Linked DNA regions of Schizosaccharomyces pombe. The gene in region 1 interacts genetically with each later gene. Each region holds a gene or a part of one and is shown on either strand. Other genes may lie near its edges.

Evidence for each region.
Region 2: of duf89 (region 1) and pho7, changing one suppresses a phenotype caused by changing the other (phenotypic suppression), as found in Schizosaccharomyces pombe (one study listed by BioGRID).

The regions. Positions count from the first base shown.
Region 1 is NC_003421.2:823,308-828,192, forward strand, and holds duf89 (cobalt/nickel-dependent phosphatase), read left to right. Parts: upstream 1-1,690; 5' UTR 1,691-1,797; coding exon 1,798-1,828; intron 1,829-1,935; coding exon 1,936-3,233; 3' UTR 3,234-4,345; downstream 4,346-4,885. Other genes in the region: SPOM_SPCC1393.12 (uncharacterized protein), read left to right, coding at 372-698.
Region 2 is NC_003423.3:1,344,568-1,349,576, forward strand, and holds pho7 (transcription factor Pho1), read right to left. Parts: upstream 3,408-5,009; 5' UTR 2,899-3,407; coding exon 682-2,898; 3' UTR 545-681; downstream 1-544. Other genes in the region: protein Cbp4, read left to right, coding at 3,813-3,849, 3,937-4,055, 4,234-4,296.

The sequences.
Region 1 (4,885 bases):
GGGGTGACATCAGTCAGACACAAGAATTATATGATGGGTGGGTGGGTTAATACGTATATGAATGATCTCATTTACGTTGCCGTATTGTGCTACTAAAAGTGTTATATATAGAGCAGTGGGAAGTAGAAGTGAGCACTCTTATTAACGATAAAGTTGTGAGTTGAACAAAAGCGACTTACTACTTTGAAATATTGTTTTACTTTACAATTGAACATTTACTAGTGTTCAGGAAAAATCTAATTTTTTTTCGTGCGCTCGATTGAATATTATATCAATCCTTTGTGTTGTACGGAGAAAACCGCTTTTATATAACCTTTCGATTTATTAATTTTTTTTTACTCGGTTAATTCACGAAATCCTAATCGAGCATCATGAATAGGCGTGTTACTCTTGGAGCCTTGGCCGCTGCTGTTGGTGTTGGTTATTATATGACTCGCCATAATCGTCAGGCATCTTCCAGATTGGAACAGAAGAATGCAGAAATCGTCAGAGCCGTGGAAAATGAGGGTCAACGATTTGACAAAGCTGTTGGCGAAACCACTGAAAAGGCAAAATCTTATCTCCAAAGTGGGAAGGAGAGGGTTGTCGATGAACTCGACAAACCTCGTGAAAACGTAAAAAATGTGTTGTCAGAGGCGCAAGCCAAGGGTACTGAACAAGCAGAAGCCCTTAAAAAGGGTACCTCAAAATGGTTTTAAATTGGAAATCCCCAATTCTCGCCATTTAGGGTTATGTGGCAATACTTTGAAAAAATACACACAGGGTTTGTTGTGTATTTGAAAACGTAAAGTGCCTAGCATTGGCTCGTTCTATACCTGCTATCCATTAAGTGTTCTTGTTAATTGTTCCAAACGTATTGCCAAACATTCCGGATCACATCTCGGCAAAGTCGGAGAGATTAAACGTTGTTAACGTTATTCTTTTTTATGTTATTATTAGTTTCTTCTCTCATAAACCAACTGAACCCAAATGATTAGCGATGACAAACAAACGACGATTCCATGGGTTGTCAAAAACACCCTCATAGAAGTTTGCTTTTTTTTGTACAGATAAAAGCGAATTTTTAATTGAAATAATGTTTTTCATGAACGCATAAATGAATGATTGAAATTTTTACATGCATGATTTTCCATTATAGACTGTAAAATGATATTTAAAGTAAGCGATGTGGACTAAGAGTAGTGATAATGCATATGAATACATGCATAGTTTGGATATTATAGGTTTTTCCTAGTTTCCATTATTAAAAAAATAAAAGATTGAAAGGAGTGTTTTGCTTTAATCTGCTCTAGTAGACAGAGTCAAAATTGATATATTTAATAATATTCAAGATGAAGAGATAGAACTCATCAAGTTCGCTTAGATATAACCTTAGCTTACGCGAAAGATGAGAATACTGTAATGCATAGTTTTTTGTTAATTTGAGACAACGAGAGGTATGGAAAATGCCCCTCAGGTGAATTCTCTAAATAAGCTAAAAAGTCAAACGCAAAAAAATGCATTATGCCGGTTTATAGAAGATAAACTTTTTTTTGCTGACAAATATTACGATGGAATTGTCGTTTTGACATTTCTTAGCCGTCGTACCTAATGCTTCTGACTGCTAATCAAGCTCTAAAAAAGCGCAGTTCGTTATACTTCTCTATCCCGTTTTCACCTTCATGACAAGTCCTGCGTATGTATGCATTCTACCATCTTCCATTATTCGCACTTGGGCGTACTCAGCTAAGCTGGTTTTGGCGTATTCATAAACGTGTCTATCCTTCAACAGGAAAATAGGTACCTGAAGAAAATAAGATGGGTCTCAAATTACTTCATCCTCCTAAACGTATGTAACGGTTTAGCTAGACATATAAACAAACTTGAGGATTCTTAGTTGGATGCTCGAGCATCGTATAGGTAGATTAAAACCGCAAAATAACTAACTTTATACAGCTTATGCGATGACCAGTGACCCTGAGTCGTATGCTTCGGTATGTGTCATGAAAAAATGGCCTATTATAGCTACGAATGTGATTGACGAGGTTTCTCGAAACATATCAAAGGCATTGGAGGCGGGAATGTCCGATAAAGCTGCTTATGTTACTCAAGGAAAGGAAATAATCAGCCTTCTTAATCAACTCAAATATGATCTTCAACACAATCGCCCTCTGAAGCCGCTTGTCGGTCAAGGGCCTGATATTGATGACTATAATGAGGAGTTGGAACAAGTTGGTCCATTGACTTGGGGCGATGCTCCCTGGCTTTATGCTGGATGCTATTTTTATCGTATCATGAGTCTTTTCTTTCAAGCCCGTTCTGAGTGGAATCGCCATGACCCCTTCTTTGAACAAAAGGACTTCACATTACGTTCTAGCAAGTCGGCCATTGAAGAATTTGCCAAAAGATATGTACACCTGAACAGTGAACTTGCTTCTATTCAAGAAAACAAGGATGACAAGGCTGCATACATGATTTTTGTAGAAATGGCGGAAATTTCACTTTGGGGCAACGCCATTGATCTGGGACTCTTAGTAAATGCTACCTACGAACAATTACAAAGCCTTCAGGGGCAAAAAGCTGTTGAGGAATCCCAGAAAAACATTTTAGTGAATGATTTCCCCAAAATTTGGTCGAAACTTTCAAAAGTTCGTCATGGTCGCATCGATTTTGTTCTTGATAATGCGGGATTTGAACTTTTCGTTGATCTTTTATTCGCTACTTATCTTTTGAAAACAGAAATAGCGGAAACAATTATTTTACATCCGAAGGATGTACCCTGGTTTGTTTCCGATGTCTTAGTCAACGACATCCCCCATTTATTTAACAGCTTAACTTCTTATTTTTCAGGCGAAGGTGTCCAAAAATTAGCCTCTGATCTTGCGGAGTTTCATGCGGAAGGAAAAATTGTAATTCGACCCAATCCTTTTTGGACTACTGCTCATTATTTTGGACGGCTACCTGATGTTGCTCCTAAACTTTTATCTGACTTAGAACAATCAGATATGGTCATCTTTAAAGGAGATTTGAATTTTCGCAAGCTCACCGGCGATTGTGAGTGGCCTCATACAACACCTTTTGCGGAGGCTCTTGGTCCAATTGCTGGAAAATTCAATATTTTGGCTCTTCGTACGATTAAGGCGGATGTGGTGGTAGGGCTTGGAAAAGGCGTATACGAAGAAATTGCCAAGGATAATCCTCATTGGGAAAGGACTGGTAAATACGCCGTCGTTGAATTTTGTCCCAAAGACTAAAAATTTCTAACATTTTAATTTAATTGACATATGGCTGTGGTTGGAAGTATCTTAATTCTGCTGCGTTCTTTTTTTTTATTTTTTTTTCTCTTTTTTTCTTTCACTCGTTTTTGGGCTATTGGACTCAATATATGGAACCTCACGGTGATAAAGTCGCAGCAGAATAAATCAAAAGGCAATAATGAATTTTTTTTATCTCCTTTTCTTCTACTATTACTGTCAATACATACCAAACTGAATTACAAATACCCTTGCATAACCTCGAAAGTATAAAAAACAAATGTCTTTCATTTGGTGCTCACGCCCAAACGTTAAACCAGCAACAATTTGTGTTAATTTCTCTCCCGCTTTCTTTTACAGATATCAAGTTTCAAAAATACCAAGTATTAACAAAAAATAAATACTTGGATTTTGCAACGACTATTTACAATCCTTTACATTTTTCTTTAACTTCTGTGATTTTCTATGAAACGCAGTTGACATGATTTTATTTTTCTCTTTATTTTTTTTTAAAAAGAAGCAATGTCTAGTATTGTTGAAATTTTAGCTTGATGTTTGTTGAAGCAAATCATCATTTTGCAAGCTGAATGAGCCCGAGTGTTACTTCTATTTACTATTAATCTATCTGATTTTGTATTGCTTTAGGTGTTAAGATCATGTAATCTTTGGTATACAGAAGGTTATGAAACTGGAGGTTCAATTTTGCTTTTCTTTTTTTTTTTTTTTTTTTTTTTGAAAAAGCACGCATCTCACAATAAATCAATAATTTTTGTAGCTCTTTCTAATTTTATATATAAACGTGTTTGTCTTCTTTGCAAATGAGAAAGACTTTGTCTTGATTTTCCTGTTTATTTATTTACTTTCTTTTTTCTGTTACATTGTTCTTTCGGCATTTTCCGTTCAAAAGTTACTCTTTATTTTAAGGTACTTAGAATTTGGTGAATCTTTAGTTTTCTTTTCTTGTTGCTAATTCAATATTGATGAATTTCGTTGCTTTTTAAAAATATTTATTTATTTATGTTAGCATTCGTTTTCGAAGTCTTCAGCAAAATTTCAATAGTTCAATAGATCTTTTTGCGTGCCAATTGAAAAAAAAAACGATAATAATAATAATAACCATAATGGAATGAGCATCGTTTGATTAAACAACAACATCAATCCGTTTACTAAATGAATCTATATCCTATGCCATCTTATAAGTAAAAAATGAAGATACAAATTACAGCACTCTGGTGGAACACGATAAACCGATTAAGAATTTATTATTCAGCAGACGTTATTTAATTTTTGATAATCTCTGCTCCACTTTGCTAACGTAACGACTCGTCATTGTCGATGTCTTTAACGACCTTTGTTACGGTCCTTTAAAAAGTTTAACCAATAAGGCCGAGGCCATCTTTGAGCCAAAATATACCATCAAATTTCACTTTGCCTCTTCACATACCCAATTCCTTAGGGATTTTTAAAATTTTAGAGTATTAGTGTTATTCACTTGTTGTTACGCATATTTTTATAGACCTGTTTATTCCCCAAGGTTTACTTGTGTAATTCCCTTTTTCCGAGGTCGAAAAGTGAAATTTCTTATGATTTAATGAGTACATTAAATTGATTAAGAAATCAAGGAAGGGAATTTAAAAAAGTATCGCTCAAAT
Region 2 (5,009 bases), on another chromosome or scaffold:
CAAATTAATTATATATGCGATCGTGTTTATCACATTCACAACGAATGAATGCAAGTGTAATGTCAAGCCATTATACCAGGATATCCAAACTGGTATAAATTAATAAGATTAATAATGACAAAAATCTCTTTACAAACTCTAAAACGGAAAAAGAAGCAAATGAAAGTTGAATGCACAATAGGCTAAATAACAAAACGTTTATAACAATAGCAGTAAAAATAAGAAAACGACACACTTAAATGGTACAAATACTTAGAAAATCACATATAGTAACTTCTTTCGTCATCTGTACGATCACATTTATCCCAAAACGACTTTCTTTCCCAAAATATACCCAAAAATAAATATAAATAGACACAAAGAAAACGAAAGATAAAACATTCTTAATCAATGTAAGCAGAATACAAGACAAAAAGGGCATCCATAGTATATCAAAATTACTAGACCGATATTAGAAAGATAGGTCCAGATGGCAATTTGGCAAAGAGAGAGAGAAGAGTAAAAAAAAAGTAATAAATGGGAGTAAAAAATCATTTTCCTTTTTTTTTCACATTGTCTTACGTTTGATCATAAGATGATCTGTCGTCTGACAATATTCATAGTGTAGGTCAATCTACTGAGAAACACTCAAATGCAAAAACAAAATAAGAAACGAGAAAAACAAAGGTAATATGCGCAAAATTATTGTCTAAAGGGATGATTCTTGAATGAATCGGCTTGGTTTTGATGGAAGTTAGGATAGGTTCCATGATCGACTAGCTCATGAACGTTAAAGTCGGGTCTAATGTCTCGTGTAGGTATATCATGAAATAAAAGCATGGATGTGTACGCTAGCTCCTCCGCATGGGTATCAGGAAGCATATTCACATGATCACCATCATGTTGTTCAAGCCCGCCATCCTGTTGTCCATGTATTCCTCTTAATGAATGGATACATGGTCTTTCTACCACATGCTGTGACGAATCAGTAGCTATTGAAAACGAGTGTATTCTCCCACGCCAAGAAGGTTGATGATCCGGTACATCTTCTTCCTCATCATCAGCAGCTTGGGATTGATAATAATAAGGAACTTGAGACTTGACGGGATTTGGGGCAGCAGGAAACTCCGAATTATGAACGTCTGGATAAAAATGGTGCATTGTTTCCATATTCTTAACAGTACCATGTTGATTTTGTCCAGGCATAGCCGTTTGGTCTATGTGACGGTCAAAAAAGCTAGAATCGTGATGGTTCATTTTTAAATCGGGAACCTCAAAATGGCTCTGCATGGACAAATTTTCGTGGTCATTCGTTTCTAACATCCAATTGTTCACATTCTCAGCGGCAATTGAGCTTTCGTTATACGTCGGTTGATTATGCATTGCATTACCGAGTTCCGTATGAGATAATAAGCCATGGACTTGTTCAGAAGGTAAACCATGGATCTGATGAATTAGCAAAGAAGGATTAGCTACAGAGTGTTGCGCATATTCTCTTAGAAAATGCTCCTCGGTCATACCAACTGGATTAGTAAAACTTCGGTTTCGAGATTTTCGATTAAAAGGCTTTGAACCAGCTGAGGAAGTTCCAGTTTCGTCCATGTTAGATACCGCCACACCATCCATTGATGTTGAATTGAAATGATCATGATGGACAGCAAAAGGAGGAGTGACATTAGGTTGAAAGTTCTTTGAAGCAGATGAAACAAGTATCTGGGGTTGAAGATTTAGTTCTTGTTTAATAGCTGAGGAAGGATACTGGGCCATTCCGTTTTCATCCATCTGTCTGGAAGACATGGCAAACTGATTGTCACTTGAAGGATCCAACATTTTAGAACTGAGAGAATCTTGCGTGGAATGACCAGAAGATGCAGTAGTTGACTTGGTGTTGTTCGAAGTATCACTCAATTTTTTATAAGGGCCTCTTCTAACTCCCGTTGGCCGTTTCTTCCTGGGTAAATCAATGCAATCAGTTTTGGCTTTAATACAACGCTGACAAGGACGAGCGTCATCACATTTTTTGTTGTCTTTTTGACACTTTGCGCAAGCTCTCTTGGCCTGAGGAAGTCTTTTCTTAACTTTACCGGTAGTAGCTTTAGGCTTTTTTATAATTTTATTCACAGTGGAAAGAGGAGGAGTCGTGTTGTTGGAAACGTTTAAACTACGATTAGGAGATGGACTCCCGGCGGATCCAAAAGGTGGCATAGAGGTTTTAGGAGGATCGGGTGCTGAACAAACGCGCTGCAAAGGAGCACCATCCTGATGATGAGCTTGCGCATTTGAATATGCAGTGCCCTCTGGACCATATTGAGAATAGGGAGACAAGTTGTATGGATTTATGTCTGCCTTCACTCCAGCACCTTGTAACTGAAAATAAGCATCTTCAGGACGATAGGGAGAGTTGTTTAAGGGAATCGGAATATTAGATAATGCAGGAGGATTTGAGTAAAAAGTAGGAGAGTTGTTTGAATTAGGGTTAACAGATGCAACCACCCCAGGTGAAAAACTATCAGACGATGGAGAACGATGGTAGTATGGAATTTCGGTATTTTGGAAATGGACGTCTTGAGACTGTTGCATAGAAACAGATCTTGGATAGTATTCACTCATGCCACCGGAGGAAAACCCAGATGCATCCAAGCCAATGTTTCCCACAAACGGAGCATCATTTGGATTTGGGTTTTGCACTGAAAAAGCAGAGGGAGAAGAGATATGAGAGGTGGAAGATGTGGAGGGATGTACAGAGGCAGAATGAGTACCTTCTACTGGGCGGGTAAGCAATTGTTGCATATGATGATTGATGAATTGATATTCTGCATCGTAATCGGGTAATCCATAAGGGAAAGGAACGGAGGACCGCTTGTAATGTGGATCAAGCTCCTCATTCTTAGAAGCAGACTGAACGACTTTCTTCTGCATACAAACGAAAAAGACAAAAGAAATATGATAAAAGTAAAGCCTTAAACAAATGCTCCTTCGTCTTAAGAAAATTTAGGTTACAAAAAGGCAATACAAAAGAATTGGAGACAATGAAAAGTACCAAAATCCCTAAATCAATGGCTCCTTCACTTTCGTCGCTTTTTGTGAATCAGTATGGAGATATGGGCTATATATGGAAGAAGAATAAATGCGTTTGGAATACTAAGATCGTTGTGTAAGAATAAGAAAGAAAACAATCACGCGTAAAAATATCCTTTATGATCAACAACTTGGTACTTTTCTTTTGAAAAAAACCGCAGTTGAGCAACACTTTTTCAAATCAAAGGTGCTGATATGACACGAACGCGGGGGGTAACAATGATAAATTTTTAGCTCAATCTCGTCAAAGCAGTATAACTGTTTACAGATTTAATATCACTTGTAAACACTTGAACGATGAATTCCTGACAAAGATGAGAGATTTTCTTTTATCGTGTTAGGGCGAAGTCGACAGATCTGATTAGCGGTGGCAGCAGTAATAAATTAGCATGTACAGGGTGGTGGGGCATAGCGCAGTAATCGCCTTTAACACTTTACCTTAAAAAACCTTATATTTAAGCTACCACCGCATTGCGGGGAGATACCTTTTTCGACAATCTTAGCGAAACAGCGCTCTGTTCTGTTAAAATAATAAAGATCAATAACGGAATACAGCGTATTTCACAAGGCCTTGCAAACCGGCCAACCATCCATGGAACGTCTATATAGCACGTATAGGGTGCCTTACATAACATCTGTGTCTGCAATAGCATTGCTGTCAAGAGCCTATACTTACTGTTATTTTTTCTCTGTATTACAACCTTTATTATTGTTTGCTTTTTGCAGACTCCATTTTGAATTGTTGTACCTAAAGCATGAATCGTGTGGTTAAAAGTATCGTATACGGTGTTGGTATGGACATTTTGAGATAGGATCGATTTAGTTGAAAAGATTCTATCCCGAACTTAAGATTGTGTTACTTACCAGTATATAAAATAGGAATCGTTGGATTTGGCTATATGACAATGAAATTAACAACTCCATCTCCCGAACGAGTTGTCAATTCACTTCCACCGGATCTTCGAGCTTCTTATGAAATGAACAAAAAAGATCGATCAGTAAGTATACATAGCGAATCTTTTTTAAAACTGTTTGCTCCAGGTTCTGAAGTGGGTTTGGGGGTGCCACAAAAGAGAGAATATTAAGTCTTCCTTAATATTTCCCTTTACCTTCTTCAAACGTGGTGTTTGCTTTCAATGGTTTTTGTTCGTATTCTATGAAACTGACTTTGAGTAGCAAGCCGAAGGTGTTTTACGAATGATTGAAGACGCAAAACGAAATCCTAAAAACCTTGTTTAAGCGAGTATTCTTACTCAATTCATTTTAATTTTATCATCTCAATGTTTCGATCTTCCTCTCTCAAATATATATCTAAAAGTTACTTTCCTAGGACTTACAAAAAAACGAGCGTTTCCCATTGATGGGTCATTTTCAATTTTCTTGTTTCTTCATCGTGCTACTATTGATGATTTCTGATTTTTTTTTTTTTTTCACTTAATCTATCGCGTATTCGTATAAAACCTTACAAAACAAAAAAACGTAACTTGTGCTTATTTGAAAATTAATGATTCATTTGATTATGGATATGAACGATAATGAATGACTATTATCAGACCGTTGTATTTTCAACAGTGTATATATTACTTTTGCCTGATTTGACTCATATCAAGCCCACTATCAATAAAAATGGAAGACTTGTAAGCATCCAGCAACTTCAGCTCTTTTGAAAGCGAAATAAGTCTTTAGTTTCCTCACTTTAAATTTTGGTACTTCTTTCTCAAAATACACGAGAATACATCCAATAGGTAAACACCCCATTTCCACGTATTTGTAACAAAAAACACATTTTCATTTTGAAATCGTCAACGAAACTTTTAATGAAATACCTCGCCCATTCTGGTATTTTGAGAGGCTTATTTCCCAAAAGTATTGATTGTTTACTTGCTAATATACTCATATGAAACGTTTGAAAAAATGATTTGACGAAAACGATAAGTAATATAGATATATTC